Linked DNA regions of Oryctolagus cuniculus. The protein of the gene in region 7 interacts with the protein of the main gene of each other region in a pairwise test. Links are inferred from orthologs where the notes say so. Each region holds a gene or a part of one and is shown on either strand. Other genes may lie near its edges. The genes, in order: TRIM29, POLE2, UBE2D4, ABCF3, KCTD9, NEDD9 and TRIM27.

What was found.
Region 1: the proteins of TRIM27 (region 7) and TRIM29 interact in a two-hybrid assay, tested with the Homo sapiens proteins (2 studies listed by BioGRID and IntAct). The link is inferred for Oryctolagus cuniculus from reciprocal best matches to the Homo sapiens genes TRIM27 and TRIM29.
Region 2: the proteins of TRIM27 (region 7) and POLE2 interact in binary tests that used the Homo sapiens proteins (3 or more experiments, as listed by UniProt). The two-hybrid records come from large-scale screens. The link is inferred for Oryctolagus cuniculus from reciprocal best matches to the Homo sapiens genes TRIM27 and POLE2.
Region 3: the proteins of TRIM27 (region 7) and UBE2D4 interact in a two-hybrid assay, tested with the Homo sapiens proteins (2 studies listed by BioGRID and IntAct). The link is inferred for Oryctolagus cuniculus from reciprocal best matches to the Homo sapiens genes TRIM27 and UBE2D4.
Region 4: the proteins of TRIM27 (region 7) and ABCF3 interact in binary tests that used the Homo sapiens proteins (3 or more experiments, as listed by UniProt). The two-hybrid records come from large-scale screens. The link is inferred for Oryctolagus cuniculus from reciprocal best matches to the Homo sapiens genes TRIM27 and ABCF3.
Region 5: the proteins of TRIM27 (region 7) and KCTD9 interact in binary tests that used the Homo sapiens proteins (3 or more experiments, as listed by UniProt). The two-hybrid records come from large-scale screens. The link is inferred for Oryctolagus cuniculus from reciprocal best matches to the Homo sapiens genes TRIM27 and KCTD9.
Region 6: the proteins of TRIM27 (region 7) and NEDD9 interact in binary tests that used the Homo sapiens proteins (3 or more experiments, as listed by UniProt). The two-hybrid records come from large-scale screens. The link is inferred for Oryctolagus cuniculus from reciprocal best matches to the Homo sapiens genes TRIM27 and NEDD9.

The regions. Positions count from the first base shown.
Region 1 is NC_091432.1:112,618,056-112,622,805, reverse strand, and holds the start of TRIM29 (tripartite motif-containing protein 29), read left to right. Parts: upstream 1-1,671; 5' UTR 1,672-1,795; coding exon 1,796-2,599; intron 2,600-4,750.
Region 2 is NC_091443.1:26,401,660-26,405,705, reverse strand, and holds part of POLE2 (DNA polymerase epsilon subunit 2), read right to left. Parts: intron 3,880-4,046; coding exon 3,820-3,879; intron 3,734-3,819; coding exon 3,656-3,733; intron 1,974-3,655; coding exon 1,865-1,973; intron 928-1,864; coding exon 751-927; intron 1-750. UniProt on the Homo sapiens protein: Accessory component of the DNA polymerase epsilon complex. Participates in DNA repair and in chromosomal DNA replication.
Region 3 is NC_091447.1:51,540,659-51,544,704, forward strand, and holds part of UBE2D4 (ubiquitin-conjugating enzyme E2 D4), read left to right. Parts: intron 1-3,751; coding exon 3,752-3,857; intron 3,858-4,046. UniProt on the Homo sapiens protein: Accepts ubiquitin from the E1 complex and catalyzes its covalent attachment to other proteins. In vitro able to promote polyubiquitination using all 7 ubiquitin Lys residues, but may prefer 'Lys-11' and 'Lys-48'-linked polyubiquitination.
Region 4 is NC_091435.1:93,768,747-93,772,266, forward strand, and holds part of ABCF3 (ATP-binding cassette sub-family F member 3), read left to right. Parts: coding exon 1-32; intron 33-118; coding exon 119-178; intron 179-264; coding exon 265-321; intron 322-439; coding exon 440-462; intron 463-574; coding exon 575-630; intron 631-737; coding exon 738-938; intron 939-1,032; coding exon 1,033-1,109; intron 1,110-2,423; coding exon 2,424-2,468; intron 2,469-2,547; coding exon 2,548-2,680; exon of another isoform or gene 2,681-3,092; intron 3,093-3,259; coding exon 3,260-3,348; intron 3,349-3,437; coding exon 3,438-3,520.
Region 5 is NC_091433.1:48,762,245-48,766,290, forward strand, and holds part of KCTD9 (BTB/POZ domain-containing protein KCTD9), read left to right. Parts: intron 1-46; coding exon 47-180; intron 181-2,410; coding exon 2,411-2,527; 3' UTR 2,528-4,046. UniProt on the Homo sapiens protein: Substrate-specific adapter of a BCR (BTB-CUL3-RBX1) E3 ubiquitin-protein ligase complex, which mediates the ubiquitination of target proteins, leading to their degradation by the proteasome.
Region 6 is NC_091436.1:159,198,121-159,202,597, forward strand, and holds the start of NEDD9 (enhancer of filamentation 1), read left to right. Parts: upstream 1-1,285; 5' UTR 1,286-3,022; intron 3,023-4,477. UniProt on the Homo sapiens protein: Scaffolding protein which plays a central coordinating role for tyrosine-kinase-based signaling related to cell adhesion. As a focal adhesion protein, plays a role in embryonic fibroblast migration.
Region 7 is NC_091436.1:154,135,525-154,140,213, reverse strand, and holds the start of TRIM27 (zinc finger protein RFP), read left to right. Parts: upstream 1-1,591; 5' UTR 1,592-1,936; coding exon 1,937-2,356; intron 2,357-3,531; coding exon 3,532-3,627; intron 3,628-4,689. UniProt on the Homo sapiens protein: E3 ubiquitin-protein ligase that mediates ubiquitination of various substrates and thereby plays a role in diffent processes including proliferation, innate immunity, apoptosis, immune response or autophagy.

The DNA.
Region 1 (4,750 bases), on a different chromosome or scaffold from region 7:
CTGGGTCCAGAACTCTCCGGTTTTCCTTTGCTGGCTGCTTCTCTGGACTCTTCTGCTCATAGCCTGTTCTTGCAGGGGTGCAGGGAGGGGCATGTCCACCTGGCACACCGGGACAACGCTTCTCTCTCCTCCTCCCCACCAGACCCCTGACTTCTTAGAGAGGGGGTTTCCCACCGCAGGAATCCCCTTGAGCGCTTGGGAAACTCAGCAGTGAGTTTAGAGGAGAGGAGAGGGGTTGCGATGGGGCTGCGTGCAGAGACCTCAGTTGGGAGGGTGTCTCTGCTGAGAAGCCGGCACTCCCCACCCCAGCACCACCCCATACACCTCCTTTTAAAACTCAGCCTGCTTTGTGAGCCAGGCTCGTCTCTGCCCGTGTTCCCAGGGGCTGTTATTGCAAAGGATTAGTTGTTCAGCCTTTGGAGCGAAGGGGTGGGCGGGCGGGGGGGGGGGCAGAGCCTGACCTAGATTCAAGGGGGAGGAGGGAAACCCACTCCCCTCCACACGGCTCAGAACCTGCCTCTCCGGCCGCACCCACTGTCTGCCCTGCCCTGTCCAGCCCAGCCTGGGAGAGATGCAGCCCTGAACTTGGTGCCAGCTGGCCAGGACCCTGGCAGTGGGTCCCCATCTGGATGTGCAAGAGCTAAGGGGGTGGGGGCGGGGGCAGGGGTGGCTGGTGAGGCCTTCCTCACCTTCCTCCCAGAGGTCTGATTTGGAGGGTCACAGCCACAGGGCTCAGTGCTGCGCCGACCTGAATGCCACACCGCACTGGCCTGTTTTGGGAGGGCATCACCCATGGCCTGGCCCAGAGGGGTGGGCAGGGTTTTCCTGAGTCATGTAGTGAACCTGCTATGGAGACAGGTGAGAGCTTGGCTCTGAGGACCTAACCACATGGCCAGGCGGGGCTTGGAGCCCCTTCATTCCTGGGTCTCTGTCTTTGGGATCCAAGCAGGTTCTGACCTGCCCTGGCAGAAACCCCCAAGGTCTCTGAGCTTCCTCTTGGGGTTGCAGGGCCAGGAAAGGTTCTTGATGAATCTCAGGGGTCTGGGGTTCAAAGCCAGCCCTGGCACTTGGCTTTGACCAGTGCAGTAGAGCTTTGGCTTCCTCATCTATTAGAAAGGGGCATCCCAGCTGCTGCCTCGGGGCTCAGATACTTTGTCTGGGAAGCCCTTGGGCCAGAGGCTCATCTTCTGCAGGCTCCCAAAATCTTAACCAACTCCTTCCCTTAAGGTGAGCAGTATCCTACTGTCTGTCTCCAGGTGGTGAATCTCTGCTCCGAAATCCAGGCCCACAAATTAATAGGCTGCTTTGGCCTGTGTGACCCAATTAGTGGCCCAGTGTCCTGTGGGCCGCTGCAGACACCTACCCTGTGCCCCAGGGGCCTCCGGCCCCACCGAGCCTGCCCAGCTCCCCGCGTCCCTGGTGACAAGCACGCACTTCAGACGGAAGCAGACCGACAGGTTGCTGAGTTGGGGAAAATAATTAAGCTGGGGAGAAAAAAAATCCCACTTCTTAAAAAAAAAAAATCCAGGTTAGTTATGAATGTGTGGGGCGTGGCCCTTGTGTAATTAGCCTCTCTGCTGGCTGTGGGAGCCGCCTGCTTCTCCCCGCCCGGCCCGTTGTGCCTGGCTGCTGGCTGCTGCTCCTCCCCGCCCTGCTCCTCCTCCCCCTCCTCCTCCCGCAGGTGTGTCTCCCGGTCCTGTGGCTGCCTGCCCCACTCCCTGCCCAGGCGCCCGCCAGCAAAGTCAGCTCCCCTGCAGCCCAGAGAGCCCAACACAGCGCAGCCCAGTGCCCCGGGATGGAAGCTGCAGACGCCTCCAGGAGCAACGGGTCCACCCCAGAAGCCAGGGACTCCCGCAGCCCGCAGGGCCCCAGTGGCGGCCTGGAGAACGGCACCAAGGCCGATGGCAAGGACGCCAAGACCACCAATGGCCACAGCGGGGAGGCGGCCGAGGGCAAGGGCCTGGGCAGCGCCCTGAAGGCCGCGGAAGGAAAGAGCGCCCTGTTCTCGAGCTCTGAGTGGCGGAGGCCCATCATCCAGTTTGTGGACTCCGTGGACGACAAGGGCTCCAACTACTTCAGCATGGACTCTGCCGAAGGCCGGCGGTCACCCTACGCCGGCCTGCAGCTTGGTGCCGCCAAGAAGCCACCGGTCACCTTTGCCGAGAAGGGAGAGCTGCGTAAGTCCATCTTCTCGGAGGCCCGCAAGCCCGCCGTGTCCATCATGGAGCCGGGAGAGGGCCGCAGGAACAGCTCCCCCCGGGCCGACGCGGGCCTCCTGCTGCGGTCCAAGGCGGGCTCCGAGGAGGTGCTGTGCGACTCGTGCATCGGCAACAAGCAGAAGGCGGTCAAGTCCTGCCTGGTGTGCCAGGCCTCCTTCTGCGAGCTGCACCTCAAGCCCCACCTGGAGGGTGCCGCCTTCCGCGACCACCAGCTGCTCGAGCCCATCCGGGACTTCGAGGCCCGCAAGTGCCCCCTGCACGGCAAGACCATGGAGCTCTTCTGCCAGACCGACCAGACCTGCATCTGCTACCTCTGCATGTTCCAGGAGCACAAGAACCACAGCACCGTGACGGTGGAGGAGGCCAAGGCTGAGAAGGAGGTAACCCACGGGGCCCTGGTCACCGCCGCGGGGGTTTCCTCCAGTGCCCTTCCCACTCTGCGCCCTGGGGATGGAGGCCAAGGGTGCTGCCTCCCCACCTCCAATCCCTGAGGCCTCAGGGGACAGGGTGTTTCCCAGATGAGCCTACAGAGGTTCAGAAAAGCCTGGAGGCTTGCTCATGGTGTCGGATGAATTCGAGTGTGGCCAGAGAGCGAGACCCCGCGGTGCAGAATCCACTCCCATGCTCCACCTGCCCAGGGTACATCTTCTCCCTCCACTCCTGCCTTTTTTTTTAAGGGAGAGAGAATTCCCATCTGAGCAGATCTGGCCCCTGGGGTGAGGGAAGATGCTAGAAGGAGGGAATTGGGGGGTGGGGGGCTGGCTCTGCACCTTGCGCAGTTAGTGCGGCAGCCTGAATTTCCCCACAGCCTCCTCTGTCCTCCCCTCAGCCAGGTCCTGTGTGCTTTGTGTGTGTGACGCACGTGGACGTGCCTATCCCTGTGGACTTGTGTGTGTGTGTGTGTTGTATGCCTGTGGGTGTTAATGGAGGTGCATGGATTTTTGCATGGCTTTGTGTGTGTGACGTGTGAGTATGCTTCCACGAGTCCCGTGCCTGTGACTGTGCCTATACGTCTGTGGGCAGGAGCAGAAGCAAGTGCGGGCTTGCGGATGCGGCACACCTGGGGCAGGCATTCTGGGCGAAGGGCCCCTGCAGTGGCTGCCACTCCCTGCCCCACAGATGCCAGCCCACTCGCCCTCACGGCTCCACATCTCCCTGCGGGGGCAGCCTCCCCAGGGGCACAGCTTCCCGGCAGCCAGCGCAGGGCACTCAGAGCTTCTGCGCCCCTCACACTGGGGCTGCCCGGGATCCCTCGCTGCCCAGCTTCCTGACCACGGGTGTGCTGGGGACTCCCTCCCTGCACCTCCCGCTCGGCTGCTGGGCAGGAGGCGTGAGTTAGAGATGGGAGCAGGCTCCCAGGTCCTCTCCAGAGCCTCATTTGGCGCAGCTCCCCTGCTCTGTGACCTCAACCTGGCTTTAAGCGTTATCCTGGGAGTCAGATGGGGAGGGGCCCTGGTGCCCGTTCTGAGGGAGCTCACTTCGGGGGTCCAGACACATCGAGGGCTGGCCATCTTCATCTCCTGCAGCCATGACCTGGCAGAGGCTCAGATGGGGCGTCTGGGGACGTGGCCAAGTCCCAGTTCTTGTTTTGCCTCTAAGTAGCTGTCGGATGATGGGTTCGGCTCTTCCCTTCTCTAAGGCTCAGTTTCCCGGGACAGGAAGCCAAGGGGCGGGGCGGTGTTGGTTTTCAGATTCCTCCCCAGGAGCCCTAGAATTCTTGGAAATGACTTTGAGGGCCCCAGGGTGTGGAGGGAGCAAAGAGGTGCTCAGAGGGCTGAGGCTCCAGGTGTCCACCTGCACCGCAAGCAAGGTGAACTCTTTTTTTTTTTTTTTAAATTTTATCTATTTATTTGAAAGAGTTACACAGAGAAGAGAGGCAGAGAGAGAGAGAGAGAGAGAGAGAGAGGTCTTCCATCGGATTGTTCATTCCCCAATTGGCCACAATGGCTAGAGCTGTGCTGATCTGAAGCCAGGAGCCAGGAACTTCCTCCGGGTTGCCCACACAGGTGCAGGGACCCAAAGACGTGGGCCATCTTCCACTGCCTTCCCAGGCCACAGCAGAGAGCCAGATCAGAAGTGGAGCAGCCGGGTCTCGAACCAGCGCCCATATGGGATGCTGGCACTTCAGGCCAGGGTGTTAACCCATTGCTCCACAGCGGAGGCCCCATGGTGAACTCTTGTTGCTCTCCTGTGCAGGATTTGGCCCCAGATTTGATCTCCATCAATGCTTCAGAACAGCTTGGGTGCCCCGAGTAGGTGGATCTGGGGGGCCGGAGGGTCTTGGGCCCCAGACTCAGAGTTCATGTTCTGATGCAGGGGCTGCTGTAGGAGCCCTTGCCCTTGCGGGCTCACGATGTAGGTCAGGAGGCAGAGCCCAGGCGCATAAACAAGACTGGGGCGCCCCCACCCAGTTACGCAGAACAGCTGTAGGTAAACATCCAATTGCTGGGGACAGAATGCTGGGCCCGCAGGAGGGTCAGCAATCATCTGGGTCTCCTCCCCCACCTGCAGGTGCAGGCGTGGGCCCAGGG
Region 2 (4,046 bases), on a different chromosome or scaffold from region 7:
TTAAAAATCACTGGTAAAGGGCCAGTGCTGTGGCCCAGCAGGTTAAGCAGCCGCCTGCAGTGCCGGTATCTCATATGGGCACCAGTTCAAAACCCGGCTGCTCCACTTCCAAACCAGCTCCCAGGTAACACACCTGGGAAAGCAGAAGAAAATGGCCCATGTATTTGGGTCCCTGCACTCACATAGGAGACCTGGAAGAAGCTCTTGGCTTCTGTCTTCAGCCTGGCCCAGCACTGGTCATTGCAGTCATTTGGGAGTAAACTAATAGGTGGAAGATCTCTCTCTCTCTCTCTGCCTCTCCCTCCCACTCTGTAACTGTCTTACAAATAAATAAATAAATCTTAAAAAAAAAAACCTGACTTGTGAAAGTATTACTATGTTTGACATAAACAACTGTGTTTTATCACTGCTTATGAAGTATTTGCTCAGTCGGTCATATTTCAGTAGAAATTCCCAATGGCTTTAACATTATGAAATAAAGTTTCCATGTAAAAATTAAAGGTATCCCATTATAAGCTACGTTGAAGGGGAAAATACTCATGTAGATGCATTTTTCTAGAGTCATTTTACAGTCACATAGTCATACTTTACTAAAAGTAATGTAAGGAATTTTCTGTGTATATCACTTCAGTGTTTCATTAATTGCATGTTTTTACTCCAACAATACTTTCATTAAGTATTTTTTAAATGGAAAGAAATGTTCTCAAATCTTGACAAATAACAACTATCCCAGGTTAAGCACATTCTTACAGGGTTTATGCAGAGGCATCCAGTATTGGTCACAGTGAAAGGGTCATATTTGTCTGCGATGACAAGTAGATCAGGCACCGGATACACTCTCAGAGTATAATCATACGCCCAGTACACCGGGCTGACGTAAAGAGGTAGTGGGGTCAGATGGCCTTGGGATAACAGAGTCTTTACAAACTATGAAAGAAAACAAACTGCAGTTAATTTGTAAACATGAAAATAGCCAAAGAATTCAAATGAATATTAATTACCAACAGAACATGGAAAATTGAGAAACAATTAGGAAAGCTTCGAACCAGAGCACTTTGGGAAACACTGGTATCAAGTGAAAGGAAATATCTTCTATTTTAGGGACAAGGGTCTAGGGTTTTCATTTAATACTGTGAGCCATGAAAACAACTCCCTCAGGAGTCATACTGGATCAGTTGTATTTGTAGCTGTACAATAAACTATTTTATTAATTCTGTTGATTGAAAAATAACTTCATAGCTTGGGTGAAACCAAGGATCAATATTCAGGCTATGTAAATGAAATATTATGAAAGGAATGATGAAAATGTTCCACAGGCTCTAATCCCACACTTCTTAGATGTCCACACGTAGGCAGGGGTTGACAGCTCTATGATGGGGGAGGGAGTCTTCAGAATTTTATGGCAAGTGTGTGTCACGAAAAGACAAGTCAGAGATTTTAGATTTGTTTTGCACCAAAATCAACTTATCTTTGAATTCAGTTTTTCCACAAAATTTTTCAAGTACCCTTCTAGGTCAGGGACCACTGGCACTGCAAAATAAAATACTACACATCCGTGTAATCAACATAAATATAAACAGTTTATTTAAACAAATATATTTTGAGGTACAATTTAAGGGTTTTATAGGCAAAAAAAGAAAGCTCAAAAAAATATCTTGCTTGTGCCTGTCTCTCCTCTCTGGCCGGGAGTGGACAGTTTCAGTGGAAGGCTGAGAAACACCCCCTGGCTAGCATTCACAGCAGTGTGTACAAATGCTCTTGCACCACAAATAAACACTAACACAAGGACACATTACCCGTGACTCAACAAAATTTCATACAGTAGCGTGGAAGACAGCTTAACAAAGATGACTCTGTTACTTACGTGATTAGGAATATCCAGGTTGCTGCTAGGAAAACGCACACAGTTCCTGCACATTTTATTCACTAAGTCTTCACGAAAGACAATGATTTCTTGTGTACAATACTGAATCCTGAAATGAAAACAGCAGTTGAAGCTTTCTCAGAAAGCCGAGATCATCTTAAAGGCCAATGTCTCACACTACAGCGCCACCCACGCTCGTAGCAAGTGATCACGCAAAACTCAGTTCCTTACTGAATTCTCAGTATGTGCCTGGCGCTGTTCTAGGAGTGAACGAACAGAACAAAAACCCTGGCCCTCCTGCAGTTTATGATCTAACGAGGGGTGGCAGAGAAAGTAAACCAAAAACCTGGTATTTCTCCAGTGTGCTGGAAAATGACTACGTAATGGGAGAAAGAAAGGACAGGCTAGGAGGGCTCCCGTGGGAGACGGGGGACGGGGGACGTGCAGCAGCTTGGGGTATTGGGATGAAAATGGAGGCAGGGCTTACAGTGAGGAGGATGAGTGAGCCACGTGCTCACTGGTGCGAGGGCTTCCTCAGGCCCAGATCAGAGGGAGAACACGGAAGCCCGAAGGCTGGAGCACGCCCGGCACGCTGGAGGGCCAGAGGGAGGCAGGGCGGAGGGAGCAAAGGGTTGGAGGGGGAGACAGAGCTGACGGGGGCAGGGAACGCAAGGCCTTGCTGCGCACTGCAAGGACGTGGGCTGCTACTGAACGACCGCTCTCGGGGCCAGGGAGGGAGCGCGCTGCCGCCCTCACTCCGACGATGGCGAGAACAGAGTGCGGAGGGGAAGGGGTAGAAGGAAGAGACTGGGTAGGAGGCTTCACAGCACTCCAGGCAGCTGGTCACAGAGCGCGAGGCAGAGACGAGTGGCCGGATTCTGCGAATATTTTCAAGTCGACAGGACTTGTTGAGAAACTGCATGTGAGGAAAAACATCCAAACTGGAAGACAAAAGGTGCCATGGACTAGGATGCAACAGGCTGGTAAACGCGGTGCTGGCGGAGGAGGAAGATCAGAAGTTCATGGTCAAGGTGTCTACTAGACACTCAAGAAGCTGCGGGGTGTGCAGTGAGACACAAAGGCTGGAGAAAGGTCTGTGCTGGAGACAGAAATGTGACAGCTGCCAATACTGAGATGGCATTTAAAGCTACAGGAGTAGATAAACTCCCTGAAGGAGTGAAGATAGGCAGGAAAGAATGAACCAAAGACTGACCCTTAGGGTGTTCCCTCGGTAAAAGCCTATGATGACGTGATGACCACAACCAGTGACTATGCAATCTTCATGCTTCCACTGTAACTGTGCTTAAAGGACACATAAGGAGAGTATTTTTACACCACTCATCCAATCACTCAAGCATCAACATCATTATTAGTGAATTACTTAATATAGTTAAACTATGTTCAAGTTTCAGGAAACCTAAAGTAGATAAAAGGAATTTTCCTTTTGGTTTTATTCATTAACAGTCAAAAATCAGATATTAGAATTTTTGTGAATGATGTGGAAGAGACGGGCACCAGGAAGGTCCCCAAGAAAAAGAGGAAATAGTCCGCCAAGGAGGAAGGGCCTGAGGAGGCCGCCCCCAGCAAGAGCAGTGCCAAGAAAAAAAAAAAGCTCCATAAAGCATCCCAGGAAGACTGACAAGCACGGACATTCCCTGCACCTGCGAGGGGTACCCTTTCCCGCCCTGTGTCCTTGCCCCAATAAAAACATCACAAAAAAAAAAAAAAAAAAGAATTTTTTTTTTATATTTTAAATGAAAGGAAAAAAGCTTAAAATATGCTGTTATTTACCTGCAAGGATTAGTGGTAAAAACTGAAAATGGTACTCTCTGTCTGAATTCATTAGTGATGCTGTCAGCAAGTGGCGGCCTGTGAAAACAAGTTATTTACTACAGAACGTATTTTTACAATTTTATAAAACTTTCTAGATTTGCAGATACTTGAATCACACTTACCTTGGTAAGATGGAACCAAATCCAGGATCTTCTGGACCAGGTACAAACACAAAACGACTACTGCAACAAAATTCAACATAATTGATTAAGAAAAAAATACATACAGTAGCCTAAACAACAAATCTTTGCCTTTAAGGAGTTATGAATTTTTTTTTTTTTTTTTTTTTGACAGGCAGAGTTAGACAGTGAGAGAGAGAGACAGAAAGGTCTTCCTTCCGTTGGTTCAC
Region 3 (4,046 bases), on a different chromosome or scaffold from region 7:
ATGACCCACAAACCCCGCAGCAGCCCAGCCAGGGCTCACAGCCCCATACAGCACGGAGTCGGGGGGCAAGGAGGTTGTCTGAGAAAGTGCAGCTGCAGCTTCAAGCAGTCAGTAGGAGCATGCACGGTGAGCAGGGGTCAGGCAGGGGTCAGAGGTCACACAGGAGGGGGAGCTGGGGTGAGCAGGGGTCAGACAGGAGGGGGATGGGGGGTGAGTAGGGGTCAGGCAGGAGGGGGATGGGGGGGTGAGCAGGGGTCAGACAGGAGGGGGATGGGGGATGAGCAGGGGTCAGACAGGAGGGGGATGGGGTGAGCAGGGGTCAGACAGGAGGGGGATGGGGTGAGCAGGGGTCAGACAGGAGGGGGATGGGGTGAGCAGGGGTCAGACAGGAGGGGGATGGGGATGAGCAGGAGTCACACAGGAGGGGGATGGGGATGAGCAGGAGTCACACAGGAGGGGGATGGGAGTGAGCAGGAGTCAGACAGGAGGGGGATGGGAGTGAGCAGGAGTCAGACAGGAGGGGGATGTGGGGTGAGCAGGGGTCAGACAGGAGGGGGATGGGGTGAGCAGGGGTCAGACAGGAGGGGGATGGGAGTGAGCAGGAGTCAGACAGGAGGGGGATGGGGATGAGCAGGGGTCACACAGGAGGGGGATGGGGATGAGCAGGAGTCACACAGGAGGGGGATGGGGGTGAGCAGGAGTCAGACAGGAGGGGGATGGGGTGAGCAGGGGTCAGACAGGAGGGGGATGGGGTGAGCAGGGGTCAGACAGGAGGGGGATGGGGATGAGCAGGAGTCACACAGGAGGGGGATGGGAGTGAGCAGGAGTCAGACAGGAGGGGGATGGGGGATGAGCAGGGGTCAGACAGGAGGGGGATGGGGGTGAGCAGGGGTCACACAGGAGGGGGATGGGGGGTGAGCAGGAGTCAGGAGGGGGATGTGGGGTGAGCAGGGGTCACACAGGAGGGGGATGGGGGTGAGCAGGGGTCACACAGGAGGGGGATGGGGGTGAGCAGGGGTCAGACAGGAGGGGGATGGGAGTGAGCAGGAGTCAGACAGGAGGGGGATGGGGGTGAGCAGGGGTCACACAGGAGGGGGATGGGGGTGAGCAGGGGTCAGACAGGAGGGGGATGGGAGTGAGCAGGAGTCAGACAGGAGGGGGATGGGGGATGAGCAGGGGTCAGACAGGAGGGGGATGGGGATGAGCAGGAGTCACACAGGAGGGGGATGGGGGTGAGCAGGGGTCAGACAGGAGGGGGATGGGGTGAGCAGGGGTCAGACAGGAGGGGGATGGGAGTGAGCAGGAGTCAGACAGGAGGGGGATGGGGATGAGCAGGGGTCACACAGGAGGGGGATGGGGATGAGCAGGAGTCACACAGGAGGGGGATGGGGGTGAGCAGGAGTCAGACAGGAGGGGGATGGGGTGAGCAGGGGTCAGACAGGAGGGGGATGGGGTGAGCAGGGGTCAGACAGGAGGGGGATGGGGATGAGCAGGAGTCACACAGGAGGGGGATGGGAGTGAGCAGGAGTCAGACAGGAGGGGGATGGGGGATGAGCAGGGGTCAGACAGGAGGGGGATGGGGGTGAGCAGGGGTCACACAGGAGGGGGATGGGGGGTGAGCAGGAGTCAGGAGGGGGATGTGGGGTGAGCAGGGGTCACACAGGAGGGGGATGGGGGTGAGCAGGGGTCAGACAGGAGGGGGATGGGGGTGAGCAGGGGTCAGACAGGAGGGGGATGGGGGTGAGCAGGAGTCAGGAGGGGGATGGGGGTGAGCAGGGGTCAGACAGGAGGGGGATGGGGGTGAGCAGGGGTCAGACAGGAGGGGGATGGGGTGAGCAGGGGTCAGACAGGAGGGGGATGGGAGTGAGCAGGAGTCAGACAGGAGGGGGATGTGGGGTGAGCAGGGGTCAGACAGGAGGGGGATGGGGTGAGCAGGGGTCAGACAGGAGGGGGATGGGAGTGAGCAGGAGTCAGACAGGAGGGGGATGGGGATGAGCAGGGGTCACACAGGAGGGGGATGGGGATGAGCAGGAGTCACACAGGAGGGGGATGGGGTGAGCAGGGGTCAGACAGGAGGGGGATGGGGTGAGCAGGGGTCAGACAGGAGGGGGATGGGGGTGAGCAGGGGTCAGACAGGAGGGGGATGGGGGTGAGCAGGAGTCAGGAGGGGGATGTGGGGTGAGCAGGGGTCAGACAGGAGGGGGATGGGGGTGAGCAGGGGTCAGGCAGGAGGGGGATGGGGGGTGAGCAGGGGTCAGGCAGGAGGGGGATGGGGGGTGAGCAGGGGCCAGACAGGAGGGGGATGTGGGGTGAGCAGGGGTCTGGCAGGAGGGGGATGGGGGGTGAGCAGGGGCCAGACAGGAGGGGGATGGGGGGTGAGCAGAGGTTAGGCAGGAGGGGAATGGGGGGTGAGCAGGGGTCAGGGGTATGTGGGGTCTGGCAGGGGTCAGATGGGAGGGGGATGGGGGTGAGCAGGGGTCAGACAGGAGGGGGATGGGGGTGAGCAGGGGTCAGGCAGGAGGGGGATGGGGGTGAGCAGGGGTCAGGGGTAGGTGGGGTCAGGCAGGGGTCAGACAGAAGGAGGATGTGGGGTGAGCAGGGGTCAGGGGTATGTGGGGTCAGGCAGGGGTCAGACAGAAGGAGGATGTGGGGTGAGCAGGGGTCAGGGGCAGGTGGGGTCAGGCAGGGGTCAGACAGAAGGAGGATGTGGGGTGAGCAGGGGTCAGGGGTAGGTGGGGTCAGGCAGGGGTCAGACAGAAGGAAGATGTGGGGTGAGCAGGGGTCAGGGGTAGGTGGGGTCTGGCAGGGGTCAGACAGAAGGAAGATGTGGGGTAAACAGGGGTCAGGGGTATGTGGGGTCTGGCAGGGGTCAGATGGGAGGAGGAGGGGGTCAGATGGGGATGCGGGGTCAGGAGGGGGATGGGGGGTGAGCAGGGGTCAGACGGAGGGATGTGGGGTCAGATGGGAGGGGGAGGAGGTGAGAGGGGTCAGACAGGAGTGGGAGGGGGTGAGCAGGGGTCGGACGGGGAGATCGTGCAGTGGACAGTGGGCCCTGCCTCTGCAGCCCGGCTGTCTCTGCGTCTCTCGGGCACCATGGACACCGCCCAGGCACCTGTGAGTGCTGCTTCTCTGCCCTTGGGATCAGTGTCCCCTGCCCTGGCCGCGGTGCCTCTGGAGGCTGTAGTCTGTGAGCACGTGCCCCTCGCGGAGCTGTGGGCCTGCGCCGCAGCCCAGCCCCTGCGGGACCACCAGGGGGCACTGTGTCTTTGGCTGCTGTGCATCCTCACTATCTGAAACGTGCAAGGGCGTTTGAAGGCTGAGGCGACAAGGGGGTCTTCGACAGAGATAGGAACAGGAAGGCTGGGCTCCTTTGCGGGCAACATGTCGGACAGCAGCACAACCTCTGCCTAGACTGAAATTTGCAGTCTCACCAGGCTGACCAGAGTAAGCCACGCCGTTGGCAAGGGGCGGCGAGTGGGTTTTGTCTCTTGCCCTGTGGTGCCTCTGTCCCCTGCCGTAGCCCTGACTAGAGTTGTGTGTGGCCCTTTCCGCACCCTCCCTGTACTCCCAGGAGTGCTGCGCCTCCGGAGACCCAGTGTCGGTGTGAGCAGGGTGCAGGGGACTTCTGTGGTCACCCCTGCCAAGTCCCGTCAGGGTGCGGGGGCGGGGGGGGGGCAGGCACCTGCTTCCGTGCCGCTGCATCGTCCGGCTGTCGCTGTGGCGCTCTGACTGGGGTCCCTTATCTTTGCAGGTTGCTTTCACAACCAAAATCTATCACCCCAACATCAACAGCAATGGCAGCATCTGCCTCGACATCCTGCGGTCACAGTGGTCCCCGGCGCTGACCGTGTCCAAAGGTAGAGTGGCTCACAGCTGGCGTGTGTGTGTGTGTGTGTGTGTGCTGGCTGGGCAGACGAGCAGGCTCAGAGCAGTGGCTTTCCCTGACCACTCAGTGCCAGCCACCCCCGTGCCCACACGCCGGGCCCACCCAGCAGTTCTAGCAGTCGGTGCCATGAGGGGCTCCCAGTGTGGCCTGGTGTAGGCAG
Region 4 (3,520 bases), on a different chromosome or scaffold from region 7:
GAAGAGATTGAGGCAGACAAGGCACCTGCCAGGTATTTAAAAGTTTCCCTGCCTTCCAGTTTGACTTTCCCCTCCTGTGAGTTGTTCCAGCGGGGTTCTCTGATGTCTTCACTTCTAGGGCATCGGTCATTCTTGCTGGGCTCGGCTTCACTCCTAAAATGCAGCAGCAGCCCACCCGGTGAGTGGCTCTTGCCATTCCTGACTCTTGAGCGCCGTTGGCCCTGCCCTGATGAACACCCACCCCTGACGTGGCTCTTTCTTTAGGGAGTTCTCGGGTGGCTGGAGGATGAGACTGGCCCTAGCCCGGGCCCTGTTTGCTAGGTGAGTCTCCTGGGCCCTGTGTATGGAGCCCTGTGGACAATGGGTCTTGGCTCTTTGAGAGGTGGCATTTGAGTCCCTGACCTGCATACGACCTTATGCCATGTGTTCTTTTTCCTAGGCCGGATCTTCTGCTGTTAGATGGTGAGCCTGAAATGGATGCTCCTGACTTTGGGATGAGGAAGGGTGGTAGCGTGTAGGTTCCTAGTTCTCTAGCCCCTCAGTCACAAGGGTGTGCTCCCCACTTCTTCTCCAGAACCCACAAACATGTTGGATGTGAGGGCCATCCTATGGCTGGAGAACTACTTGCAGGTGAGGGCCTCCAGACCCTGGTGTGGGTTCCGGGCAGGTGTGCTGGTGTGGGTTCTGGGAACTGACTGCCCTCCCAAACTGGGCCTGCCATCCTGTAACCCCCTCAGACGTGGCCCTCCACAATCCTAGTCGTCTCCCACGACCGCAACTTCCTGAACGCCATCGCCACAGACATCATCCACCTGCACAGCCAGAGGTTAGACGGTTACCGCGGGGACTTCGAGACCTTCATCAAGAGCAAGCAGGAGCGGCTGCTCAACCAGCAGCGGGAGTACGAGGCCCAGCAGCAGTACCGCCAGCACATCCAGGTGTGTGGGGCTCCCACAGCGTGCATGTCAGGAGTTGGGGGTAGTGAGAGAGCCTGACCAGTGCCCGCGCTACTCCTACCTCCCTCCCCCACAGGTTTTCATTGATCGCTTTCGCTACAACGCCAACAGGGCCTCTCAAGTGCAGAGTAAACTCAAGATGCTGGAGAAGCTGTGAGTACTGTGTTCCCAGCTGGGCCCTGATCCTCATGTCCTTGTCTCTTCCCTCATTTTGCAAGCCAGCCCTCGCCCTCCCACACTAGGCCTCCGTTTGCCAGAAGCCACCTTTGCCTTCTCCTGCAGGAGAGCGGACGTTCTGTATTGCTCTTGCAGAGTTCATCTTGCCTGGGCAACCACGGATCTGCTTCCTGTCGCTGTTTGCTTACTCTGGACATTTCATTTAAACGGAGTCATAAACATATAGCCCTTTGTACCCGATTTCTTTCACTTAGCATCATGTTCTCAAAGGTCATCCATGTTGTGTTGTAGCATGGATTAGTACTTCATTTACTTTTTATGGCTAAATAATATTCCATGTGTGTGTAGGCACATTTCGTTCAGTAACTTATCAGGGGCTTGCCTCCATTTTGCTTATTATGAATAATGCCATTATGAACCTTTGTGTAAAAGTTTTTATGTGGACATATGCTTTTAATTTGCTGGAGTGCATACCCACTAGTGGGTTTTCTGTATTACTTGGTAATTCTACATTTAGCTTTTTGAGGAAGGGTCAGAGTATTTTCTAAAGGAGCCGCAGTGGTTCACATTCCTTCCAGCAACGTAGGAAATCTCCAGTTTCTCCATATCCGTGCCGCTAACTGTTCTAGTGGATGAGAAGTGATAGTTTGTTGTGGCTTTGATTTGCACTTCCTTAATGACTAATGATATTGGGCGTCAGGGATTTAATCTTGAAGTGAATGGAGCTTAAAATCATAAGGCTGAGAGCTTTGTGACGGGGGAGTATACACGTGGTCCACCCTGAATGAGGACACTCATGTTTGGCAGAGTGCAGTGGACTAGAAAAACGTCCTTCTCCATGGGTTATGTGTGGTGGGAGCGTAAGCCTTTTCTGAGTTTTCTCTGTGCAGGTGCTGTTGTGCAAGAAGAACAGATATTTATTTTTAATCTTTTTAAGGATTTACTTATTTGAAAAGCTGAGTGACACGAGGCTAGCACTGTGGCACAGCAGGTTAAGCCGCAGCCTGCAGTACTAGCATCCCACATGGGCACCTGTTCGAGTCTCGGCTGCTCCACTTCCGATCCACCCCTCTGGGAAAGCAGCAGAGCTAAAGCACTTGGGCCACCCTCCGCTGCTTTCCCAGGCTCGTTAGCAGGGAGCTGGCTCAGAAACGGAACAGCTGGGACTCAAACCAGGGCTTTGATATAGAATGCCAGCAGCACAGGCTGCAGCTTAACCACTGTGCTGCAGCACTGGCCCCAGTGGTGGTTTTTAAAGTCGTAAGTTTGTGCACCCATCTCTCCCCTCAGACCGGAGCTGAAACCCGTGGACAAGGAGTCAGAGGTCGTGATGAAGTGAGTGCTGGGCCCGAGGGACCGGTGGGAAGCTCTTGTTCCCGGCCACCTCCACGGCCCTCACCCCCGCCTCCTGCAGGTTTCCTGACGGGTTTGAAAAGTTCTCCCCGCCGATCCTGCAGCTAGATGAGGTGGATTTCTACTACGACCCTAAGCACGTCGTCTTCAGCCGTCTCTCCGTCTCTGCTGATCTCGAGTCCCGCATCTGTGTGGTACGTTTGCTGTGTCCCCGCCCCGTGAGCTGGAGCTCTGCTACCCCAGCCTTCGTCGGTACGGCTTGGCCCAGACCCGCAGGCCACAGAGGGAGGGTCTGTGTAGGGGTGGGAGAAGCCAGGGCCTGGGCTGAGGACTCCGTGTGTCGCTGTTGCCGGTGCCCTTCAGAGACGCTGAGCCTGGTCGTGCAGCACTTGATGGATTCTTAGAGCTGTACCTCCTCTTACTGCTCTCAGGTCTGAGTTCTTTAAACCGTGGGGCTTCAAGGGTGTGGCCTGGCCTTGAGGGTCAGACTGCGCATCCTGACTGCTGTTTCCTAGCTCAGTTACCAGGCAGCTCCCTCATCCTTAAATGGACATGACGTCTGCCTCGCTTGGTTGTTGGGAGCAGTCAGTCCCCAGCACTTAGCAGGTACTCGGGTATTGGTTCCCTTTCTGGCTTTACTTCGTTTCTGCACAGTTCCTTGAAACTGTGATGTTGCTTGTTGAGGCGGTCATTGGGACAGGCCGGGACACCGTCTCGCATCGGTCCCTTCTGTGGTGCGCACACGCGTACTCCAGCAGCTCGCGTTTCCGCAGGTTGGGGAGAATGGAGCTGGGAAGTCCACCATGCTGAAGCTGCTCATGGGGGACCTGGCACCCGTCCGAGGCATCAGACACGCTCACAGGTCAGCCTCCCTGCCTGCCTGCGGATGCTGCCTACAGACCTTCGTGGTCGTTGCTTTCCATGCCCTTTCGCCTTCATTTCTGTCTGTAGGAATCTGAAGATTGGTTATTTCAGCCAGCACCACGTGGAGCAGCTGGACCTGAACGTCAGTGCTGTGGAACTGCTGGCGCGCA
Region 5 (4,046 bases), on a different chromosome or scaffold from region 7:
GCAGTTAAATTTTTTAAGTTAAAATCCTAAAATATGTTTGCTGTAGGTGCTAATCTGAAAGGTGTGGATATGGAAGGAAGTCAAATGACAGGAATTAACCTGAGAGTTGCTACTTTAAAAAACGCCAAGTTGAAGAACTGCAACCTCAGAGGAGCAACTCTGGCAGGAACTGACTTAGAGGTGAGTTCAGCAACATTTAAAGTTTTTGTTCATCTAGAATTACTGAGTATCTCATGCAAAATTTATTGAAATCATAATGAAGTTGGCTGGTAAAACTGCCAGATAACATGCCAAACAGCTGGAGGGCTGTTTTCCTTTCAATTGCATGTTTAAACAAATTGGAATTCCAGAGCAGTGTTCAGTTACTCAGATCACAGATGCAGTTCCAGATTTGATTTCCTGTCTCCTTTTCCTTGGTTCTTCCCCAAGTAGAGAAGTTTGATATTTTATTACTCTGATTTACTATATTTTTCATAATTTTTAATTTGAAACAAAATTAAACAGGCCAGATTATTTCCTGAACTACTTGAAACCTTTATGTATTTTCTTAGAAAGTGAGAGAGAGGGCCCGCGCTGCGGCTCACTAGGCTAATCCTCTGCTTGCGGCGCCGGCACACCGGGTTCTAGTCCCGGTCGGGGCGCCGGATTCTGTCCCGGTTGCCCCCCTTCCAGGCCAGCTCTCTGCTGTGGCCTGGGACCAGGATAAGCACCTGGCTCCTGCCATCGGATCAGCGCGTTGCGCTGGCCGCGGCGGCCACTGGAGGGTGAACCAACGGCAAAGAAGACCTTTCTCTCTGTCTCTCTCTCTCACTGTCCACTCTGCCTGTCCAAAAAAAAAAAAAAAAAAAGAGAGCGATATCATGCTATCTGCTAGTTCATTCCTCAAATGCCTGCAGTAGCCCAGGCTGGGCTGGGCCGAACTGGAAGCCCAGAACTCCATTTGGGCGGCAGAGATCCAAGTACCAGGGCCATCACCACTGCCTCTCAGAATATGCATTAGCATTAGTAGGCAGCTGGACTTGGCACCCAAGGCTTCTATCTGCTGGTTCACTCCCCAAATTCCCACAGCAGCCGGGGCTGGGCCATTCCGAAGTCAGGAGCCATGAAATCAGTCTGGGTCTTCCACATGAGGGGCAGGGACTCAAGCACTTGAGCCATCACTTGCTGCCTTCCAGGGTGCGAATTACTAGGAATGCTGGAATAGGAAGTGGAGCCAGGACTCAAGCTGAGGTATTCTGGTATGGAATGTGGGTGTCCCAAGCAGTAGCTTAATCTGCTGAGCCTTTTTTTAAGTGCAGAACCAAACTCCCACCCCTGTCCAGTCATCTTTTTAATAAGAATTATATTCTATATGTCTTCTTGATGTGTGAATGTAGCTAGCAGACTTGAAAGATGTTGATAGATCTATATCAACAGTGTCCAATAGCACTTTCTGCCATAAGGGACATATTCTATTCCTCTCCTGGTTGGCATGTTGGTTACTACCACATATAGTTATTGAGCTGTATTTCATTTTAAATAAGGCAAAAAGAACTAGCCTAAGGCTGATAGTATACTGCTATTATGAATGTAATTGTTTAGTTGTTTATTACTTGTTATTATACCTAAGGTCGTATTTTTTCCCTTGATTTCAGCTACCATGTATTCAATATGGTTAAGAAGCAAAAGTCTCTGTTCAGCTGACTGCAAAGATTGATAAAGTTGCTTGTTAAGGGGTAGCTGTTGACATTTGTCCTCTTAAAAGATTATACATAATCACTCTTCTTCAGCCATTACCACCACCATCCCTGGGGACTTCACCAGATTCTTCATCTCATCTTAATGCTGTGATTTGGAAAAAAATTAACAAATACCTCCTGTTTGTGTATTAGACTGTTGTGTCCCTTTGTCAAAACTCATTGATTCGTACACATAAATTTGGGATTAAACAACAGCAACAAAAAAAGGCAGTCCCTTGCTATAAAAATGTTAGGGGTAGGGAATAGAAAACTCTATTGTACAATTTAATTACTAGGTACATTTCCTTTCAATAGCTTTCCCCCTTGTCATGCCTTTTGTTCTTGTTCTTGTTCTTGGATTGTGGTAAAATTATTTAGATAATACTTAATTGCACCAATATCCACTCTGCATTTTAAATGCCTGATTCTAAAATACATGAACAGAAGGGACACACTTCATCTTTAATCTTTGCATTTGTGGCCATCTGCCCGAGCACCACCTTGGTTGACAAATTCCTGTGCTAATAGAAGAAAATCTGACTTTAGGGTATATGTCAGAAATTTTCCAGAAATTAACTGAGTTTCATTCTATCAGAATGTTGTCTTAATATCTCACAGACATAATTTTGAGAAGAAACAGGTAAGAATATAAGTCTTCATGCTAGTTATGTGAATATGTTTCTGTCTTATAGAATTGTGATCTGTCTGGGTGTGATCTTCAAGAAGCCAACTTGAGAGGCTCCAATGTGAAGGGAGCTATATTTGAAGAGATGCTGACACCACTACATATGTCACAAAGCGTCAGATGAGGATTTCAGGGGCTGGAGGAAGATGTCCTAGATGAAAGATGTTTTCCTTATCACTTTTCTTTCTGTACCCACTCAGTTGTCTAGAAGAGATAGCACTGTAAGGGAATTTTAAAACCATTTAGACAGTTATGCTTGTTCTCAACGGTGCATAAGGGAAAAAAATTACTCTTTTTTCCACATTCTGATTTTAACAGAAAAGCACTCATTTAATAGATGTAGGGAAATTAGATTGCATTGCTGCCTTTTGAGTGGGATAGGGAGAGTTGCCTGGTTGTATGACCAGGAATAATATCTATTATATTTGCTTTTAAATAGGCATGATGTGGAAATGCCATCTTGGTTTGAGATGCATTTGAGGATTTTAATTTATGAAAAGCACAACATATGCAATTATATTTATTGAATACCTAGATGCAGTATGGATATTTAAATTGTTAAATTTTATGAAAACTTTGAAAAGGTTGTTCAGGTTTATAAATAGCTTTAGTGATGCCTCCCTCTTTAAATACCTGTCACATCATATGAATATGGTGAGATCAGATTCCCTAAGGCTCTCTTTTCAGGTTCATTTTTATGATGTTTACTTTTAGAACAAAATAGTAGCTAATTTAAAGGAATATTCCATTCTTACTGGTTAAGACAGAGTGGAAGGAAAGATACCATTGTACATCATTAACATTCTGAAAGTATATTGGAACACCCCAGATGAAGGAAGAATTTACCAATAGCCTCAGCTTTTAAATAAGCATTCCTTAGAATTTCATTCTAGACAAGTTCCACTCAACACCAGACCAGGCAATTCTATTTACACTACTAGTCTAGTTTTTTTTCATGTACAATCAACAGAATCATAGGAAGAAGATACTTCAAAAACCAAAAAACCAAGGTGCATCATTAATATTCATTTAATTCAAATACAAAATAGACAGGATCAGCTTAGAAATATACTGCAATCAAGAATACTGCAGCCAAAGCTATAAAATATGAGTGAGTATTGCAGGGACACGTTTTAGAAGGCAAAAGGCTTAAGCCAGCATGGGGAATGCAGTATTCTTAACTATCAGTTACATAATAGCTGCCCCCAAAATTTAATAAGTAAAAATAAAGGCATTTGGCTGGTCCATGATATAATTCTAGTCACTCCAGTGAGCATCTGTGGTTCTTTTACTTATATTTTCTTATTTTTTGTTTGTTTTTAACAAATTTTAGTCCATTTTTCTTGAATCGTTCTCTCTGCAGCAACAGAGATTGGGACAGTCCTTGCCCATCAATAACCCTGTGTCCATAGGTCTAGCCCAGGAATAGGAATATAAGCTGTATCCAAATGGATTCTGAATTCTACAGACTCATCACCTTGAGGCAATGAATCATTTAAAACCACTTTTGTCTCCTTTGGGAGAATGACATATCTTCAGTATTTGCGTAGCTTATTCTTCTATATCTACATATGCAAAGCTTTCCTGAACAGTAAGGGTACATATGCATAGTGGGAGGAAATCAGACCTTTACAGGCGAAGGA
Region 6 (4,477 bases), about 5.1 Mb from region 7:
AGGGTTTTTTTTTTTTTTAAGTATGAGAGGACATCAAAATGTCCCTGGAACATGCATAATGATGAAAAAAGCTAGGCATGAACTTCAAAACATTTTCCACCAAAATATACTTACCTTTTAATTCCACTTTTCCATGAATCTTTGAAAATACCTTCACAGATATACTGTGTCAGTGACTTACGGAGAGAACCTGATGGTGTTAATATTTGAATCCTATAAAATTGAAGGGCAGGCAGTTGGTTGAAATGCTGGTTAGGATGCCTGTGTCCCACATCAGAGTGTCTGGGCTCAGTTCCAGATTCTGGTTCCTGATTCTAGTTTTCTGCTGATGCAGACGCTGGGAGGCAGTGTTGATGGCTTAAGTAACTGGGTTTCTGTTTCCCACATGACACACCTGGATTGAGGTGCTGGCTTCTGGCTTCAGACCCAATCCAGCCCCAGGCTTTGCAGGCATTTGGGAAAGTGAACCAGCAGATAGGAGCTCTCTATGTCTGTTTATCCATCTCTTTCCTTCTCTGTTTGCCCTCCTCTCTCTCTCCCCGCTTACATCTCCCAAATAAATAAAAAGAAATTTGAAAAACTTGTAAATTATTTTTACATTTAAATGCATTTAAATTAGACATAAGGTTCAAACGTCTGACAATCCCCTACCTGATATAGTATAATGAGAAATGTGTAGAAGTTTTTGAAAAACAAAAACATGTACTATCCAGACTTCCTTTCTACCTCCATCAATTTATTATAAATATTGCACTATAAAATAAAAACTCAGGAATAGAACAATTCCACCTCACATCTGCAATAGTTCCTGATACATAACATGTATTCAAGAATGGTTTTATAAAGGAGAGGGAAGGGGAAGAAAAAAGAAAACAGAGCACCTTGATGAATATTTCTTTTTTATTCTTTTTTTTTTTTTTTGACAGGCAGAGTGGACAGTGAGAGAGAGAGAGACAGAGAGAGACAGAGAGAAAGGTTTTCCTTTACCGTTGGTTCACCCTCCAATGGCCGCTGCGGCTGGCGCACCACGCTGATCCGAAGCCAGGAGTCAGGTGCTTCTCCTGGTCTCCCATGGGGGCAGGGCCCGAGCACTTGGGCCATCCTCCACTGCACTCCCGGGCCACAGCAGAGAGCTGGACTGGAAGAGGGGCAACCGGGACAGAATCCGGTGCCCCGACCAGGACTAGAACCTGGTGTGCCGGCGCCGCTAGGCGGAGGATTAGCCTAGTGAGCTGCGGTGCCGGCTGATGAATATTTCTAACTGCATTTATGAATGAACTATCTGCATGATGATTAATATAAATGTTCTTGTGATTGATGACTTCATAAGACCCAACCATACAAAGTATTGAGTGTTTATTTCTTTATTTAGCTGTGTCATCCTTTTATAGGTAGAATATTTTTAGCGATATTCATACTAGTTCAAACATTTTCAAATACATGACCTGGAAGCAGATATTTGGCCTACCAGCTAAGATGCCCATGTACCACATCGCAGTCCCTGAGGTCAACACTGATGTTAGCTCCTGACTCCTGAGAGGCAGCAGGTGATGGATGACTCCAGTAGTTAGATTCCTGCCAGTCGTGCTATAGCCCTGCCACTCAGCTGGACTGAGTCGCCAGCTCCCAGTTTCAGTTTGGCCCAGTCCTGGCTTTTATATGGATTTGAGTAATGAACCAGCACACAGGAACTCTCTATGTCTATCTATCCATCTCTTTCTACCTCCCAATGAATTTTCAAAACTTATGAAGTATATGACATGCAATGAATTTCAGAGAATCCTTATAGGAAATTAAAACAACATCATCAATGAAACAGAAGTCACAGGAGAGCAACATACAGCATGAGCCTAGTTTGATATGGTGAGACCAAGGGGCAGCCCTTTCCTTGCCTTGGTGATGAAACAGGCACACTGGGTCATTTTGGAAACAAACATCTGTTGTTCAGATTATCTCTCTTTCCTCTCAACTCTCTATACTCCACATCATTTCCTGGGCATCAGCAAGGACTGGAAAATAAGAAAGGGAAAGAATAAAGCGGAGATCTCAGCTGACAACAACTAATTTACCACTAATAACTCTAACCTACACTGTCATCCACATAGTGCTTATTTTATTTGTGCCAGACACTCTTTGCATGTTTTACACGTCCTCACTCATTTAAATCTCATGATACTTTTACTGGTGTTCCCATTTTACAGAAAGGAAACTGAGGCAAGAGCAGTTAAGGGGGAGACTGTAATTCAAACCTGGGTGTTTGCTGTCAGAGTCTGCCCACCTGTCTGCTACTCAAAAGCACAGATAGAAGACGACCAATGGATTGGGGCCAGGTGGCTTTCAAACTCTCTTCCATGTACACAAATCCAGGCTTCCATGCACCCTGCAAATAGGAGCCTCCTCACTTGGGTGCCTTGCCCCTAGCATTGGCCTGTGCAGTGCACATACTTGTCATATGAAAGAATGCTTCATGTCAATTTATAGTGGATTCTTTGGAACATACCAAGTCCATAAAAGCACAAAATCCCAAATTGGTTGATTTTGAAACAGCCTAATTTTGCCTCAATGCAGCCCAGCCACTTAGAAAAATACGTCCCAGTAGAATTTGATTGCAATACTAATTTGAAGATCATCAATCTTTCTATACTCATATACACAGCTAGTGGGCCAGATACGAATGAAATTTCTTACCTGTCCCTAAACTGCAACACGCCCTCAGTGTACTGCAAGGGCTCATTTGAAAAAAAAAAAATCAGCCCCAGAGAGGAAATGAGCTGCCACAACATCGCTTCACAGCAACCGGAAGGAAAAACACACACAGGCGTACGCCACTCACATCCTACGTATGCGGTTGCTCAGTGGGGAAATGCTTACAGACAGCTGCCTTGAGAAGCCAACCGGGGTGCTGCAGCGAGAGAAGTAGAATCGTGCAGCAGGACTGGCTCTCCTCTTCTGCCAGCCCATAGAGAAGACAAGAGCACCAGGGAGCAGAGAGATAATCCGCCACCCAGACTTCTGCCCTTGGGTGAGTTCTCAGCCACTTGCTGTGGCCTGGGGTGGGAGTGCAGGGAGCTCACCCCGACTCTGACTTCCTGAGTTGGTGTCAGACAGCTGGGGGTGTTCCCCACTGTTAACACCTCTGAGCTGGGGATGAGAGGGCTTCAACAATTCCAGTAGATGAATCATTGACTCCAGGTCTCCTTCAAATTGACCTGGACGAGCTGGTTTTAATGCTACTTTAAACCCGCAAGATTTCTACTTTGCAAATCATCCTGGGTTGGTGCTTCCTGGTGTGTGAATGCCTGGCCCCTCCCCGCTTCCTGCTGACCTAGGAGAGTCTACCTGTGTAGAACCAAGCTTCTACGTGTTCTACATTATTCCAGTGCTCAAGGTTTTCACTTACACTTTATAGTGCATTAGAATCATTTACATCACTTTTAGCCTTTCTGGGGAGCAAGAAATGGTGACCGAGAATTGGGTTCTGTGCCTGTGGCCCTGTCCTGTAGAGAAATGGTTATCAGCACCACCTTTACGGGACCAGAGACATACTGTACTATGGTTCTCACTGGCTACCTGATAGCTCCACCCCTACTTTTCTCTGCCTTTATTCATTTCACTCATTCAGTCATTCATTCAACTGGCTTTCTTCCTCAAAAAATTTGTGACAATTTTTTTTTTATGATGAAATGGCTTCAAAACAAAGACCAAGTACAAACCTAGGTGGAGGTAGTGAGCAATCTTCTCCCTGTGTTATCAGTGACAGCTGAGAATGGGGGCCCTAGCCTGTTTAGCCCCTGCTTGGGGAATGCCCTTCTTTGCCACCCAGAATTGGGTGTGAAAAGAAATTGTCCAAAATTCTTGGAACCTGTCAAATGGGTTTCTCCCTGGTGTCATTTCCTTCCAAGCTTATTATTTTCAAGGTCATTCTCACTGTAAGAAAGGGGCAAAGTGGAGTAATGGAACGTGAAGGATATGTAGTCAGTCTTGAATTAGAGCTCCACTTTGTGTTAACGACTTCGTTCGTTTAACAACGATCTAGAGAATTCTCATCCTGTGAAAATACTTTGTAAGTCAACACCTATGGAAGAGAGACCAAAACTGATGCTGCTGTGTTCCTAATATAAGCTACAGTCCAAAGGAGCAACAGGCATTAACCAATAATCTAGAGGAGGAAAAACTGCCTCAGTTTGTCTTTGTGGGTTCACTGATTGGATGGTCTGTGAATTAAGCTGACATAAGATAGACTAACAAGAGAAAAAACTTAAATTACATTTGTATGAATGGGGGTTCCACAAAAATATGAAACACAGAGAAGTGTTTGTGTTTGATGACTGAGGCTTCTGTATCAACCTGAGCTACAAAAAGGACTGGAGGTATGGGGGCTTCTGGAGGTGGGTAGGGGTTCGGGCAGAGAAGGTGAAGGGAAAAGCCTCAATTAGACAAATTGGCCAGGAAAAGCCAAGCAATGCAGGGCAAAGGT
Region 7 (4,689 bases):
AATCTTTTCAGTGATCTAGAACATACTGATTTAAGACGTGAGATCACGGTGCTGGCATTGTGGCACAGCAGTTTAAGCTGCCAGCATCCCATATGGATGCTGATTCATGTCCCAGCTGCTCTACTTCTGATCCATCTCCCTGCTAATCTGCCTGGGCAAAGCAGTGGAAGATGGTCCAACTGTTTGAGCCCCCGCAACCACATGGGAGACCTGGAAGAAGCTCTTGGCTCCTGGCTTCAGCCTGGCCCAGCCCTTGCTGTTGCGCCTGTTTGGAGAGCGAAGCAGCAGATGAAATATCTGTCTCTGTCCCTGTCTCTTTGAGAAAGAACTCTGGCTTTCAAATAAATAAATAAATCTGTAAAAATAAAAAGTAGTCTTCCCCTCCCCCAACACCTTCCCGGTTGTTCCAGGATCATTTATTGAACTTTTAGAGCCAATCTGATTTTTCCTCTACATGATACCAAATTCTTACCAACATTTTAGTCTATTTCTCAATTTCCATTCTGTCCCATCGATCTGTCAGCTTATTCTTACTTTAAGCACTGTACCTTTGCGGCATTCCTATTATTTTTTCAGCCAGATGAGAAGAGAGATAAGAGAGGAGAGAAGCTGCACAAATATGCATAAATACCTTAGGTCTAATGGACTCTCCGAACAGTATGGCCCCGCCCAATATTTCTACGTTTTTTGTAAGTGGGCTAGGGTTACTGGGGTCTGGAATTTCACAGACTGGGTACTCAGAGTGTGGTTCAGAGGACGTGGGCTTGGGGTTGGCATGTCCACTTCGCCTCTCGGATCCCTCCAAACAGAAGTTCCGGAAGCAGAGGCCCTACTGCTGAGACCCAAAACCACACTGAGAAAAATCCCAAGGAAACCAGCAAATACCAAGTAGGGATGACGGGAAATCCACTGTGTGATAAGAGAACAGACAGCCCGGGATTCCAAGACCCCGGGGCACTGTGGGATTCGCACTCTGAACTTCAGAAAGGAACAAGAGGTTTTCAGGTGCCGCTCAATACAACAACCCTACGCCGTGGGTATTTTGCGGTTTTCACGGATAAACATCCTTACGGCTCAAAAATTAAACGATTAAGTCTACCTTCTTGCTGAGGTATACCGATTCTGAGGCTCAGAATGGTAAAACACCTTGCATGAGCAGAGATAGGGAGTAGCAGAACTAGGCTCGCGGTTTTTCTCCCTGCGGAAATGTTTCAGAATGATAAATACACCCATTTTTCCCCCTAAACAAAACGGCGAGCGGCAGCAAATGATGGCTCTGCTTAACAAAGTGCGTCACGTACCGGATGCAGCTCAGTTTGCAGCCCCATCCGCTAGCCTCAGGGCCTGCGCTTCCCAGTCCTACACAAAGCCAGCCCTCTCTGGCAAGGGCTAAGGCCTGAGCGCCCAAAGAAAACCTCACAAAAGACCAGGGGTCCTCAGCGCCCGGTTCGGAGGTCCCGTCCCGACCCGTCCCGCCCTGGGGCGCGCGCCCAGCCAAGCCGCCCTCCGCGGCAGGAAACAGCTAGGCCCCGAGGCCAAGAACCGCAAGCCCCGCCCCACGCCGCCCCGCCTCTTCCGGTCGCGCCGGGGCGGGGTCTCCGCGGCCTGCGGGATCCGCTTGGACGCAGCCACGTTGTCCTGCGCGCCTGGCGCGCCTGCCCCTGTGAATCCGGCCCGAGGCGCTGCGCGCCTGGCCCCCCTACCCGCGTAGCCGCGGGGCTCCGTCGGGAGGCAGCCTTCCGGGCCTCGTTCAAAGGGTACAACAGGGCAGCGAGCTGCCCGGCCGCCGGAGCCTCCCAGGGAATCCGGGCCCGAGGGGCACCGCCCTCCGCCCGCCCGGCTCGAGCAGCGACCCGGAGAGAGCGCCGGAGAGTCGGGCTCCGCGCAGAGCTCGGCGCCGGGGGCCCATGCCCGTGCGCCCCCGCCAGCCCGCGCCATGGCCTCCGGGAGCGTGGCCGAGTGCCTGCAGCAGGAGACCACCTGCCCCGTGTGCCTGCAGTACTTCGTCGAGCCCATGATGCTCGACTGTGGCCACAACATCTGTTGCGCGTGCCTCGCCCGCTGCTGGGGCTCGGCCGAGACGAACGTGTCGTGCCCGCAGTGCCGAGAGACTTTTCCGCAGCGGCACATGCGGCCCAACCGGCACCTGGCCAACGTGACCCAGCTGGTGAAGCAGCTGCGCACCGAGAGGCCGTCCGGGCCCGGCGGCGAGATGGGCGTGTGCGAGAAGCACCGCGAGCCGCTGAAGCTGTACTGCGAGGAGGACCAGATGCCCATCTGTGTGGTGTGCGACCGCTCCCGCGAGCACCGCGGCCACAGCGTGCTGCCGCTCGAGGAGGCGGTGGAGGGCTTCAAGGTGAGGGCCCCCCCCGGCGCGCGCGCAGCGAGGCGGACAAAGGGAGGGGAGAGCCACGGGGGCTTCCCCTTTTTTTCCTTGCCTAGAAAATGGCTGAGCCGGACGTGTGGTTCACAGCCGTCATTTCCTCTCTGTCCGCTCCCGAGCCTCCGCACTCGGATTTGGAGGAAAACCTGTAGCTGCTGGGGAAGCCAGAAGTCGCCCCACCCCACCCCCACTCCTATCCCTGTGTTTCCCAGATCTCGGACGCTATGGACATAAAGACGTTCCCTGGAGCCCTTCCCCCACCCCCACCCGCAAACCCGACACCCTACAAGATGTGCATAAAGCTGTGTACACATCAATAGGCTCCTGAGACACTCTGCTCCCAAATTATAGAGGAAACCCGCTCGGACGGTGACCGCGGTGTCCGAGTCATCCGGCAGATGCCCGTCACTTAGTCTGTAAGCACTTCTTGTAAACCGTCTTGTTCTAGAAGCTCATGGAAAGGAACACATTTCTCCACTGCTTGAGTAAGGCATTTCGCCATCCTGAGACACGGGAGATAACAGGTATTATGATTAAGGGGATAAGAAGTGCAAAGCCTTTTGCAAACTGTTGAACCGACTGCGGCAGCAAAACAATAACACGGAAACAAAGTATCACGTGCAAAAGAGTTTTAAGGAGACATTCCAGGCGTCCTTGATGTTGTCTGTTTGCTATGTGTTTGAGGGCTACAGGATTATACCCACAGTTTTGTCCGTGTTTAAAAGTGAATGCATTTCTGCATAGTCACCTAACATGGAGCTTTTAACTGCATCATTTCACCTGCTCTCCTTGTAACTGGAATAGGCTGGGAAAGTGGTATTTACCCGTCACACATGAGGAGAATTAGAGAAGTTGCTTCATTTTCTCAGTGGACCTCTGTGGAAGGTCTACAACTTGACTTTAAATCTCCTAGTCCAGTCACCCTAATGCTAAACTGGGTAGAGGATTCATTTAAGAAATGCACACATTGCCATAGAAGAGAGGTGGTGGCCCCTGTGCTTTGAGTCTTCTGTGGATGGTAGTGTGGTCTGAACACAGGCTCGCACCAGGCACCTGGCATCAGAATTGTAGTTTCTGTCTGTGGGGAAGCAAAACAGCCATGGTTATACTATGGCCTGCCCAACTTTTTTTTTTTTTTTTTTTTTCAGGAACAAATCCAGAACCAGCTGGACCATCTAAAAAGGGTGAAAGACTTAAAAAAGAGGCGCCGGGCGCAGGGGGAGCAGGCACGCGCTGAACTCCTGGTAAGGGCTTTTGGAATTCCCAGATAATAGCGCTTTTGCTGGTCCGTGCTTCTGTCAAGCCAACTTGCTCAGTTCTTCCAGTTGCAAGTGAAACAACCCCATGTGGCAGTGGAAACTTAACCTGGAGAACCAAGGGGCTCCCCTACTTTTGGGGAGAGGGTGGAGGAGCTGTGCTTGGGAGTCATAGATACCTGCTGGATCAGTAAAGTTTAGCTTGTTAGCTGCTTGTGGGCCAGGACTGATGTTTGGCAGACTTGAGATAGGTGAAATTCTTGAGAATAGTTAGCTGGCATCCTGTGGTGCACTATCCTTCTCACAGGTGCTGGTGATGGATTTGTGTCAGCCCCACTGGTTGACTTTCTGGAGTGTTCATTCCCCTTTCTAAACAGAGTTTTTCGCTCTGTTTTCTTTGAGCAGTCTTCCAAGGCTTTGGCAGGAACCTGATGTGCTAATTCTGATATGGGTATTTTGGAGTTTTGTTTTAGAAAAACAAAAAGTACAGAGGGTTTTATCATATACACTTACATATTTACCACCTAAGTGTTTACAATGTGAGTGGAATAGATAAAATGTTACAGACCTCTAACCATTAGAGGTGTTTGCATCTGAAAAGCAAACTCCTAGACTAGCAGTGTCTGGAATCTTGAGAGAAATTGTGTCAGTTCTAAGTTGTGTCCCTTCTAAGCAGGGAGCTCATTCCTAAGGTGTCCTTAGATTCCACCACTTGCTCTGCCCACACAATCTGCTGAGACCACAGTTCCCCTTACTTTCAAAAGAGATTTCATGGATGAAGAATATTCTTCATGAACCTGAGTCCACTTCAATCATAGTGCACACAAAAATTGTCTTCTGGGCAGGATTGTCAACAAGGAGACACAGCCGTTCTCTGAAATCCGGCCACCTGGATGTGCGTCTTGGCTCTCATACTAGCCATTTGATTATCACACTTCACCTGGGAAATGGGTAGGTTGGGGGGCTGGCATTATGGCAGAGTGGGTAAGGTGACTGGGGAGGGTAGAATGGGGGTGCTACATGTCCTGTTATGTGAAAAACAGCCCCATG